Linked DNA regions of Sus scrofa. The protein of the gene in region 3 purifies or fractionates together with the protein of the main gene of each other region. This does not show direct contact. Links are inferred from orthologs where the notes say so. Each region holds a gene or a part of one and is shown on either strand. Other genes may lie near its edges. The genes, in order: PTPN12, DOCK4 and GRB2.

Region 1 (3,747 bases), on a different chromosome or scaffold from region 3:
AGAAAAGCCTATTATTCAGTTCCGAGGTGCTGCGAATATAAAGGCAAGAAAAAATCCTTTCAATTCAGCAAACACTGAGTGCCTATCACATGCGTGGTATGTATTAGGACGCACCCCGCACTTCAGGCGCTCACTCGGCAGGGTTTAAACACAACTGCAAAAGGGTTAAGTCCTGTCACTGAAGAAGCATTTCGCTTCTCTTGGCCTTGGTCATTACCCAAAGTGCCAACGTCTAACTGCAGTCAACCTTAAGATGAAGACGTACCTGCAGCGAACGTGGAGTCAACGCTACTACAGTTCCCAGCATGCCACTCTTCCCACAACGCCCTCTCCCGCCCCCATTCCTGGACTCCTGAGAACCCGGACTTGTAGTCCCAACTCAAGGCTGGCGGCGACGGCGAAGCACTCTAGAAATGTGCTTTTCGCACTAGTAAGCAGTGAGACCGTAATTTCCAACTCAAGTCCTACTCCAACTGACTAGGGCTTGCCATTTAGCCTAACACCCTCATTCTAGCGCTCCTCAGACCTACTAGCTGCCGGGGTGGGACCACGCCCCGGAAGTGGAGTCAAGTCTCCCAGCCGACTGCCGAAGCTTCTTCCAGCCACTCCTAGCCCGGCCAGAGCCCGCGGGGCGGGCTCCGGGGCGTGGACTGCGGGGGCGGCTAGGCGCGGCGTCGCGCCAGGGGCGGAGCCGCGGCACGGGGCCGCGCGTCTGGGTGGCGGCGGGGGCGCGCCCGTGGGGAGAGGCGGCTGCGGCTGCTGCTGCTTGTGGGGAGGGAGGGAAGGAGGAACCGGGAAGGGGTGGGGGGGGCAGGGCGATCGGAGAGCCGTGTTCCTAAGGCGGTGGCGGCGTCTCCGACGGAGCTGGAGGAGGGCGGGGAAGGAGGATGGGGCACGCAGGGGGTTGGGGTTGGCGCTAGCCGCAGCGGCTCGCCTCGTACTGTGGGAGAGCGGCGGCTGCTCCTGCAAGTTGTAGGATCAGGAGCCGGCCGCCGCTGCCGCTGCCGCTGCCGCTGCCTCGGGCAAAGAGGAGGAGTAGGGAGCGGCGGGGGTCGGGAGGGAGGGGACGGGCTGGGGGAGCGAGCTGGGGAAGACTGAGCGGGCTCTGCGCCGGGCGGGCGGGCGGCGGGGGGGCCGGCGACCGCAGCCGGGGGGACGCGGGAGGATGGAGCAAGTGGAGATCCTGAGGAAATTCATCCAGAGGGTCCAGGCCATGAAGAGTCCGGATCACAATGGGGAGGACAACTTCGCCCGGGACTTCATGGTGAGTCCCTCCCCTCGCTGTCGCCTCCTTTCGCCGGCACCGGAGCCCACTGCCGCCTTGCCCAGCCGGCCCGGGCCGCCAGTGCTTTGTGTGCGGCTGTAAGGAGAGGGGCGGAGGCGGCGCGCACCAGCTCCAAAGGCCGGGTGGTCTCGGAGGCCAGCGGGAGGTGAGGTCGCCTCCGCCCCTCGGCCTCCTTTCCTCTCTTCCCGCGATCGCGTCCCTTTCCGCCGGCGTCTGGGACGCGAAGGGAGAGGCGGCCGGCCGAGCCCGCACTCAGCACCGCCGCCCGCGACCACCTATTGTTTCTCGGGCCGGGAGCCCGAGGCGAATGAGGTGCAGGCCGGGGGGCTAGTCTTTCCTCACCTCCCCGTCCAGACCGCCCCTGCTGGGAGGGTCGAGGCAGGGAGGAGAGCGATCTTGGCTGACGGCAGAACGTGGCTATTAAGATTGCAATTAACTCACGGGGTCCCTTTGCTCAAGCTGGGCTCAGAAGTGGGCAAGGTAGGACTTTTGCCGTTTCTGGACTGGCAATTATTATCTCCAACGCATGGGAAAGGATTGCTCGAAAGAAATCTCTTGGTTTACTCAATTTCTTTTTACCCGTCTCGTCGCTTGAGACCCTGGTTTGAGATGGTGTTGGGGTCAGCGTGACTTGAGGTCGAGGGGGTAAAGTGTATGTGTAGAGGCGGGGGTGGTTATCCTGAAGCCTACTTCAGACTCCCTAGGGGATATTGCTGAAGGCGGAGGGGATGTGACTATCACTTCCTATCCGGGGTGGGGGTGGGGAACTTGGGAACAATAGTCCTGGTGGGGCGGAGGCGACGGTAAGGGCCGAAGCCCTGAACTGGGAGATAACCTCCGAGGCCTACCCCCATCCTAACCCCCCTTCCCACCGCTTCCGCCCTCTGCTTGTGCTGGCGGGCTGGAGACGAGGTTAAAAGTCTTGTGCGTGAAATTGCTCTTGGGTCATCACTGTGATGGGGTCAGAACCGAAGGCGTGGGACCAGAAGTCGACTTCCTCCATTACCCCCCCCCCTTTATTTTTCTGCTGGACAATGTTCCCTTTAGGGTTGTTTCTCGGTTTAGGAGGCGGTGGTTGCGGCTGCTGCTCCTGCGGATGTTGCGCAAGACTGGGGCGTTGGAAACCCTGGAGGTCTGGGGAATGGAAAAGGAAGTGGGACTTTGGGAAGTGGTTGCTCCTTAGACTTGGCGGAGTTTGGGAATGGGAAATACGCTAGGGAAAATTTTGCTCCGGGGCTAGATACACGAAGAATAATCACTTAAGTCTGAAATTGTGGATCGTAAAAAGGATACATAGTTTATGTCTATAAAAAGGACTGAGCAGCAAACGTTGACTTGTTTTTTGTTTCAAAGTACAGTTTAATTGTTTACAAGGTGCAGGTGAAATGGCTTTTAGTACTAAAATGCCTTTTCACATTTTAAAGAAACTCCAATCTAGTAAATTTTTAATGTTAAAATTGTTAACACCTATATATATATAAGATCCCTGACCTTACACAATATTGTAACAGTATTGTTGAGCTTTGTTGATTCCCTCCTCCCTAGACCAATAATAGAGGCTAGGAGGTAGGTTTCCATAGTATCTTTTCAAGGTGGAAAAAAATATTGATTAAATAATTTATGCCTATTTTAAACATTTTTCTCTTGTTATTTAGCCCATGTATTTTGAAAAACAAGTTTTTGATCTGAGAAGGTTAAGGAAAAGAGGACATTTTTCCCTCTTACCTCTGAGAATTTTGAATGTGTTGCTATTTTTGGAATGATACCACAGTAATTGAATGGAGTCCCCTTTTGACTCTCTAGCAAAAATAGAAAAAAATATTAACTTAGAATATGTTATATGTTTCAGACTAATTACAATCTTGTTTTGGTTATGGAAGAAGAGGTGATGTGGTCCCTGGCCACTTTTCCTCTCCATGCTAGTCTTCTTGCTATCCAGGAGCCTATCCTGTCAGGAAGGAGCATTGTTTGGAAATGCAGGCCATCAGGACAAATGCTCAGTCTCTGAACTCCTGTGCAGGGGAAGTGGCCTTAGGGTTCATGCTTTGGGGATGAGTCAGGGATTCCTATTGGAGATTTCTTTTCTCTAGGACTAAATGAGTTTCCTTTTTCTTCTGGGATAGCTAGGTGATTCTACATGATTTGATGACTAAGGCTGTTCTTTTATAGTGCTTGCTTTCTTTATTCCGTGACTTGATAAGCTGTAGATATAATTAAGGCTGCTGGTTGTTGCTGTCTTTTCCCTTGACTAGAAGGCTGGAGGGAAACTATATCCTCTCTGCCATGGAAGAGCTGATAGAGTCTAACTTTTCTGTTCTTAAATTCTGACTGGATTAAAATGCAGTTTTAAATTTTAGCATTTTAGAATTGAGCCTTAAAGATAATCTAGCTATTATAACCCTATTCATTTGTAAAGGGATAAAGTTCACTGTTTCAGATTTGGAAATTATAGAATAACAATT
Region 2 (3,647 bases), on a different chromosome or scaffold from region 3:
ATGGTGCAGGGAACTGGGGCTTCCCGTTAGGAAAGTCAGGTGGTTCTCCTGGAGGGATCGCCTTTTGGGTGGCACCCTCTTTGCCATGCTACCCTTCTCTCTCCCATCTGGTTCTTCTGTGCTCATCCCTTCCTCTCCCAGATTGTCAAAATCTGTCAGGGAGGAAGTAACAAGAGAACAGGAATTCTATGACAGTTGCTATGCTTCAGTTGTTTTTGTTAAAAAAAAAAAATTTACATTATTCTTGTTCACTTATTATAATGCAAAAAGATAGAGCTGCTATTTTAAAAAGTCTTCCTGCTGTGAGGACCTAAACCGAGATGACTATAAACTTGCAAGTTTGCTTTGTTCAACTATCAATAGTGCTTAATTCCTTTGATTTGAGTAGCAGCTGTCTTTTACATTTTAAAAAATGCACTACAGTGGTCAAAAGAACAAATTCCAGAGGCTGACAGGAAAACAAATCACACATCACCACGACAGTCCTTTATCTTTACAGCCTGTGAAGATTCAAGGTTGAAAGCTCAGGTCGAACAGGACTGACCCTGGAGTGTCAGAGCACCCAGCCACCTGCCTGAGGGGTCAGAAGTGTGGCACCTTCTGCTCTGGAGGCCCCACCACCACCAGCACATTTGCATAAAGATAAAAATGCCTTGAAATAAACATCAAGGACACCTTGAAAGGAACAGCTTGAGTGGCGTGTCTGTGTAAGGCATAAAGGGCCAGTGTGGTGTGTGGAGAGGGAAGGAGGGATGGAGCAGGTGAGCCCAAGGGCAGGGGCCTCCTCCATCGCTGACACCAGCTGGGAGGGGCCCTCCCTTTGGCCCAGATAGCGTTGGGTTGGCTTCTCCCGGAAGCAGGCTCTGACATGGAGATTAGGCTGTCTACGGGGATGGATCCTTGGGGTCGCTGCCTGTGGGAGGGAGGGAGGGCAGAGATGGGACGTGACCAAAAAAGAAACTCAACGGCATGACCCCAAGGGAGCGCTGAACCTTTAATGGTCTGTCACGTGGCCAGGCTCGGTGTCCCCTCCTCAGTCCCTGGATGCAGGCCACTCAGGCTAGGTGGCTCCCAGCAGCAGAGGCAATCCTTGAGGACCTGAGCCCAAGCCCAAGGTGGCTTCCAGCAGCTGGGAGGCCACAAGTCCTTTGTGGAAGGAGCCGTGGGGCAGTGCCTCGCCACAACTGTTCTCTGAACCAGCTCACAGAGGAGGCGGTCCAGAGAAGGACAGGCCCTCTCCAGCCCAGGCCGCTTTCCACGGTCCCACAAAGGCGATGTGGACCGCCCAAGGTGACCTGCACCACCACAAGGCGATGGAGATTTAATGCTTCTGAGGCCCTGGCTCTTGCCACAAGTCCCCAGGGACACAATTGGGCAGGATGTGGAGGAAACAAAGGTCTCTGATTTTATTTTTCTTGAGCGGTTTCCTAATCCCTTTGATTTTTCTAGGGAAAGAATTCAGTCAGACTGAATACACCAGGTAAGAATCCTGGGGTGGGGCAAACTTTTAAACATCCACGAAGGCCAAGGTCATTCCATAATCCCAAGTACTGGATTACCTAAGCCACTCCCTTCTAGAATCTACATCACCCCCAGGGCCAGAATGAGAATTTAACTTATTCTCTATTTCCTTGCAGGTCAGCGTCTAGTAATTCCTCTCTCTTTTCCAGAAGCGGTATCACTGACCCTCTTCCAGCCATGGCCCTTGTCCATGGCCATTTCTCTCCCTTCAGTATGCAGGTTTGAGGACTAAGCCTATGGAGCATAAACTGTGAAATAAAACTAGATACGACCTTGTTATTTCCTAATCCAAAAGAGTGTGCTTTATTTATTAATTTGGTATTATCAAGTATTATTTGGTACTATCAAGGAAAGAGACGCTTCTCTCACATTTTATCATGCATGTTCCATTTTTCATGGGTATAAAATATCTTCATTTCCTATTGAAGCCAGCCTCCCAACCATAATGTCTCACACCTCAGAGGTTTTCAAACCATCTTCAGGCCAAGAGCTAATAATTAGTAGGGGCACAAAGGCAACAGATTATTCACTTTGGTTCTTCATACTTGATGGGACCAAAGAAATAAAAACAAACTATGCTTCTTGAAGCAGAAAATGATGAGGTTGTATTTAGTTTTTGTCTATATCGTCTAATCTATAGGCTTAGCCTGCACAACGTGGTACTGTTTTAAAGCAAAGGGTATTGATTGTCTACTTCCTTATGGTGACGTTTAAGTAAGAATTTCATTCATTCATTACATCATTTTATTTTGAGTTGGCCTGAACATATTCGATCCCCAAATCTTGAGTGAAAAGTGGGCACCAAGCCCTTGGGGAAAGAGCATGCAAAGAAGAGACTTCATGAAGTTGTTAGAAGGAGCTGTTGTTGTCAACTCACAGTTTTTTTTTGCTTGTGTTTGTTTGCATCAAAGTGGGAAGAAAAAGTAGAGATTAGCAAATTGAGATATATTACAAGCAAATCTATAACCCTTGACTGCTAGCTTCAGTGAGAAGCTAGCATTGTAGAAAGCCATGTAGGTGGGATTCTGGGTAGGCAAACACATGTCTACAGAGAAGAGGGGGGAAGGCGATGGGCTTCTGTCCCCCTTACCTGCTCCAGCATCAGCTCTCTTAACCGTGCAATTTTCTCTCCATCTTCAGGGTGACTTAAGATATAGTCTTTGACGAAGAATGCCTAGTAAGAGAAGGGACAGTCAGTTTACTTCAAGAGTGTTACAAAGGAAGTGAAAGACACAGTTGTGTTTAAAAACATCTTTAAAGAAATGACACCATTATCCGTCACTTTTGGGGCAGAGGAAGTGATTCTGAGTGTGGTCAGCTGGTCAGATAGGAATAGAAGGAAACTATTGTTGAAATGAGATCAGAGATTATACACGCTTTGCATTTTGGTAAAACAAAGAAATAGCAAATGCAAATCAATAAGCTTTATGACATTATATCCTAAAATAAACTGCCTCAAGATTCTGAATGATCAAGATGGTGGCCTCACCTTCTAAGCTACTGTACCTTTCTGTTTAAAACTAAGACAGCAGGTGAAAAGTCCAGTATCTTCCAAACAGGGTCAGATTTTTCTATGTCCAAGAACCACTGTTTGCTCAGGGAAATGGTTGTACATAGACATTTATTAAACAATCCTGCTACCCTCACTACTTTTCTTCATTCAATAAAACATACACACACACACACACACACACACACACACACACACTTTTATCCTCAAAATACCACATTTTGAAAAAAGGAGTAAGTGTGCATTACAAATGACTAATGTTCTATTTAAAAAATAAACCTGTTTGCGTTAACTGCAGCCCTATGTTAACAGGCTGATGTGCATGTATATTTTGAAAAAAATACTTCTGAAACCTTAAGACATCACATATAAAAATTTTCAGACATCAGTACCTAATCCTCACCTCTTGATACCTGGAAACTCCACCATTAACCGCAGCATCTATAACTCCGTTCAGGCACATGGTCAGGGGATTAATATTCTGCATCTGTCTGGTCTGACACTGACTAATCAGAGTCTTCAGCTGCTGATTCTTGTTTTCCAATACTTCAATTGCATTTTCCAGAGGACTCATTTCTACCTGAGAACAAATGAGCATAAATATATATTGGATTTT
Region 3 (3,747 bases):
CCCTTGCAATGGCTTCTCTGGCAAACTCCTACTCATCCTCCAAGACAGCTCAGATAACGCCACAGCGTTCTCCGAGAACGCTTTTCTGAGATGGGAGGAGCGGCGACCCCTCGCCTCTCCTCAGCCTTCTCCAAATAATTCTGACCGTACTTATGGTATTATTTGTTCTTTCCCTCCTATAGATCTTGAATTCGTTTCTGTGCAGAAAGGGCCCGGATTTCTGTTCTTAGTTGGACCCTCTATACTTGACACAGTGCTTAGAATGTACTAGGCACTTGGTTCAATCGATGAGCGAACGAATATGTTCATTCACCTAACGCAGCAGAGTTTGTTTGGACCAGATTCTCAAATATTTCCAGACCTGATCCTCTATTTGGCTTGCTTCACGTGGGAGGGAGATTCCCCCCCAACCCCGCCAAACTGGGTTGGTGGAAGGGGAAAACGAAGTGATTAGGGTGTGCATAAAAGTCCTTTCTTGGCTGGGGGAAAAATGTAATTGTAATGTATACATGTAAGGATAACCTGACCCCCTTGCTGTACAGTGGAGAAATAAAAAAAAAATAAGTTGATATCGGCCATCAAAAGTAATATGACAATTGAATCATGCAAATGTGGGGCATAAAAAAAAAAAAGTCCTTTCTTTCGGAGGTGAGTTGTAATTGACCCGCTCTGGCACCGAAAGGGTTACGGCGACCCAGGGGTGGAGCCCTGTCGGTGCCACCTGCTGCGGGGCGGCCTGGCGCCTGCGCTCTGGCCTGTAGCTGATCTACCTGCGGGGGGCCTGGCGGAGGAGGAGCGCTTGCGCTCTGGGCCTTTTCCGCCGGGGGAAGTCTCGCGGGGGCGGGGCGGGGCGGGGCCGCACAGGGAAGTTCTCGCGGGACCCCGACCAGGAGCGGAAGCGAGGCGGCTGTGCTGCTTCAGCTACCGGACCGCGGCGGCGACGACGAAGACTGTGGCGGTGACGGCGGCGAGAATAGGCGCTGCCCTCGGGGAGCAGCAGAGGGGTCTGCGGCCGCTCGCACCGCTGCAGAGGGGCCGGCCGGGCGTGGAGCGGAGCAGCTGCGCCACGGTGAGTGTGGCTGGCGGCGACGGCGCTGCTCGCGTGCTGCTTCCTCCCCGCTTCGTCGCGGGAGTCGGCCCCGGGGGACCGGGCCCAGGGTACCGTGGGCTGCCGGGCCTGGGGGTCGGGAGTGCGAGGCTCCGGGCGGGGAGCGGAGCGCCCGGGCTCCGGGCTCCATGTTTCCCCTTTTGGGGCGCTTCCTTCCCGGGGACCGTCCTCTCAGTACCCTTGGCTTGGAACAGAGCCCTGGACGAGAGGCTGGGGGCTCCTGATTTAATTTTATGCTTTCTTCGTGAAGGTTTGCACAGGGGGGACCCGGAGAAGCCCGAGAACACAGGGTAATCATTCTGTGAGTCAGTGTGACTTGGCCCGGGAGGCGGGGGATTCGAGGCGGGTTGCAAATATGGTGATTGATGCTCCTTCGACCTATACGGCCACCACGTCACCAACTCCTGGTGTTTGGGGGCCGAATTTTGGGAGGAAACCCACCAACCCTATTAATACTGTGAGCGAGGACGTTTGTTACCGGAGCCAGTAGAAATACCTTTACTTTTATTGCGCTTTTTTTTTTTTTTTGACTGCTTCCCTAAAAACATTTGTTAAGAAAAGTAAGCAGCAGTTAATCGGAATGCTCCGAAGAAAGATTTCCGTGATCGAGGGCAGAGAATCGCTGGCACTTTTCATTTGCAGCTCTCTCTGTGTATAGGATTGTAAAGCCATGCTAGTTAACAGCTTATTTAGGGAGTTCACCTAGGCTGGCTTCAGATGCAGCAAAAGTATACTTTGCAGAAGAGCCGAAGTGCCCTCGCGGGTTCTGTCTTTTGCTACTCTTGAGTCTCAGAAGAGGGTGGAAAAGAAAGGCGCACTAGAGAAATTCGCTTTAGTCTTCTGGGCTTTCTAGTCCCTCTGTTCACTTTGCACTCCACAGTTGCTGCCTTTCTAAACTTCTCCCTTGTCTTCTGCGGCCACGAAATGCTTACTCCGTATAATGCAAGTCACTTGCCCCCTCCCCCCTTTTAGTCTAATCTACTTCCCCTTCCTCCTTATTGTCCCTTTTGGCATAATTTTTTGAGGTTTCTGCTCTTTCGCCCGTTCGTTTTTCTCCCTCATTTAAAGATTCCGTTTCTCTCCCGGAAAGATGATGCCCTCTTCCCTGCTTTATCCTTTGCTGTGAAGCGTCCACTGTGTTTCTTCAGTCAGCCAGAAGGGTTGCTAGAGAGCTGTGCGAGACTTAAGGTCTCCCCCTGGGAGCTGGGAGGCTCAAAGGATTGAGTTCAGCCGTAACCAATACTGCACTAATACTGCACTAGATCACAAGTGTAGCTTGCTGGTGTTTTTGTGTTTTAGTTGTTTTTTTTCACTTTTAGATCGCATTTTTGTGCCTGCTCAGGTTTTTCTATGTCTCTCTTATGTTAGTAAGGAAGATTGGGTCAATTTGGGGCTCATATGCCTTCTTTTTGGCTTTTAGCGGGGGAGGCGACTTAAAAAATGAAAACCAACCATAGACACCTATATTACAATCAAGAGAGCTTGAACCATTTAAGGGAATAGAATTTATTTAGACTACTGATGAATTAATTAAAGCTTGCCTGTTGGAGTAGTACTAACTTATTCTTTCCCAGGCTTTTAAAGATCAGGTGTCTCTTCCTGCATCTGCTATAAGCAGCCTTCTTTGTTATTGTTGCTGGGCTTGAGGGGGGAAGGCGGTTGACAGAAAGAAATAACTATGTTCTGTTGGCCTTTCCTTTGTTTAAAATGTTCTGAATCCCCCAAATTTAAAAAGGTTAATTCTTGTAATCAGCTTTGTTTGTTACTAAAAGCAAGCACTCAAATGCTTGAGGCAGTTTACTTCCTCAGCAAGTGTGTTCAGATTTGAGGGATTACTAGGTTTTTCAATACAACTAATTGATGGTACTTAGAGATTTTTCCCCGAAATTCTTGTTACCATGTTGCACATTGTGTAGCAACAGTTCTAATGGTTACTTAGAACAAAAAAGTAATAGATTTTGGAGAAATGAAGTAATACGGAATAGAGACCCACTATGGTTTCCTGAGAGAAATTAATAGTTATTCGCTTAATTCAGAAGACATTTCTGGCACTCCTGAATGACTATTGAGAGCCTTTGTTTTTTTTTTGTTTTTTGTTTTTTGTTTTTTTTTTGTCAAAGTTGGCTTTTTCACAGTTGTGCCAAGTGGATAGGCGTTATTTTCAATTTATGCAAAGACATTATGCATCATCTGAGATGTAAACTTTAAAATCTGGTAAAGATACCTTTACAGTACAGCATGATTTTTTAAATTTAGCATGCATAAGAATTACCTATGAATCTTAACTTAAAATTAGGTTCTGGAGTTCCCGTTGTGGCTCAGTGGTTAACAAACCTGCCTAGGATCCACGAGGACGAGGGTTCGATCCCTGGCCTCGCTCAGTGGGTTAAGGATCCAGTGTTGCTGTAAACTGTGGTGTAGGTCGCAGATGCGGCCCCATCCCACATTGCTGTGGCTGTGGTGTAGGCCAGCGGCTTCAGCTTCAATTCTTCCCCTAGCCTGGGAACTGCCATATGCCACAGGTGCAGCCCTAAAAAGACAGAAGACCAAAAAAAGAAAAAAAAAATTAGGTTTTGGGCCTAAGGCCACTGTGCTGCAGAACTTCAGAAGGCACCTCGTAGTGAATCAGTCCCTGAAAG

The links.
Region 1: the proteins of GRB2 (region 3) and PTPN12 purify together in Homo sapiens (affinity purification with mass spectrometry; 3 studies listed by BioGRID and IntAct, with this or other methods). This does not show direct contact. The link is inferred for Sus scrofa from reciprocal best matches to the Homo sapiens genes GRB2 and PTPN12.
Region 2: the proteins of GRB2 (region 3) and DOCK4 purify together in Homo sapiens (co-immunoprecipitation; 4 studies listed by BioGRID and IntAct, counting the BioPlex papers as one, with this or other methods). This does not show direct contact. The link is inferred for Sus scrofa from reciprocal best matches to the Homo sapiens genes GRB2 and DOCK4.

Annotation. Positions count from the first base shown.
Region 1 is NC_010451.4:102,561,057-102,564,803, reverse strand, and holds the start of PTPN12 (tyrosine-protein phosphatase non-receptor type 12), read left to right. Parts: upstream 1-1,058; 5' UTR 1,059-1,165; coding exon 1,166-1,264; intron 1,265-3,747. UniProt on the Homo sapiens protein: Dephosphorylates a range of proteins, and thereby regulates cellular signaling cascades. Dephosphorylates cellular tyrosine kinases, such as ERBB2 and PTK2B/PYK2, and thereby regulates signaling via ERBB2 and PTK2B/PYK2.
Region 2 is NC_010460.4:33,860,187-33,863,833, reverse strand, and holds part of DOCK4 (dedicator of cytokinesis protein 4), read right to left. Parts: intron 3,612-3,647; coding exon 3,435-3,611; intron 2,696-3,434; coding exon 2,612-2,695; intron 1-2,611. UniProt on the Homo sapiens protein: Functions as a guanine nucleotide exchange factor (GEF) that promotes the exchange of GDP to GTP, converting inactive GDP-bound small GTPases into their active GTP-bound form. Involved in regulation of adherens junction between cells.
Region 3 is NC_010454.4:5,939,785-5,943,531, forward strand, and holds the start of GRB2 (growth factor receptor-bound protein 2), read left to right. Parts: upstream 1-938; 5' UTR 939-1,069; intron 1,070-3,747. UniProt on the Homo sapiens protein: Non-enzymatic adapter protein that plays a pivotal role in precisely regulated signaling cascades from cell surface receptors to cellular responses, including signaling transduction and gene expression.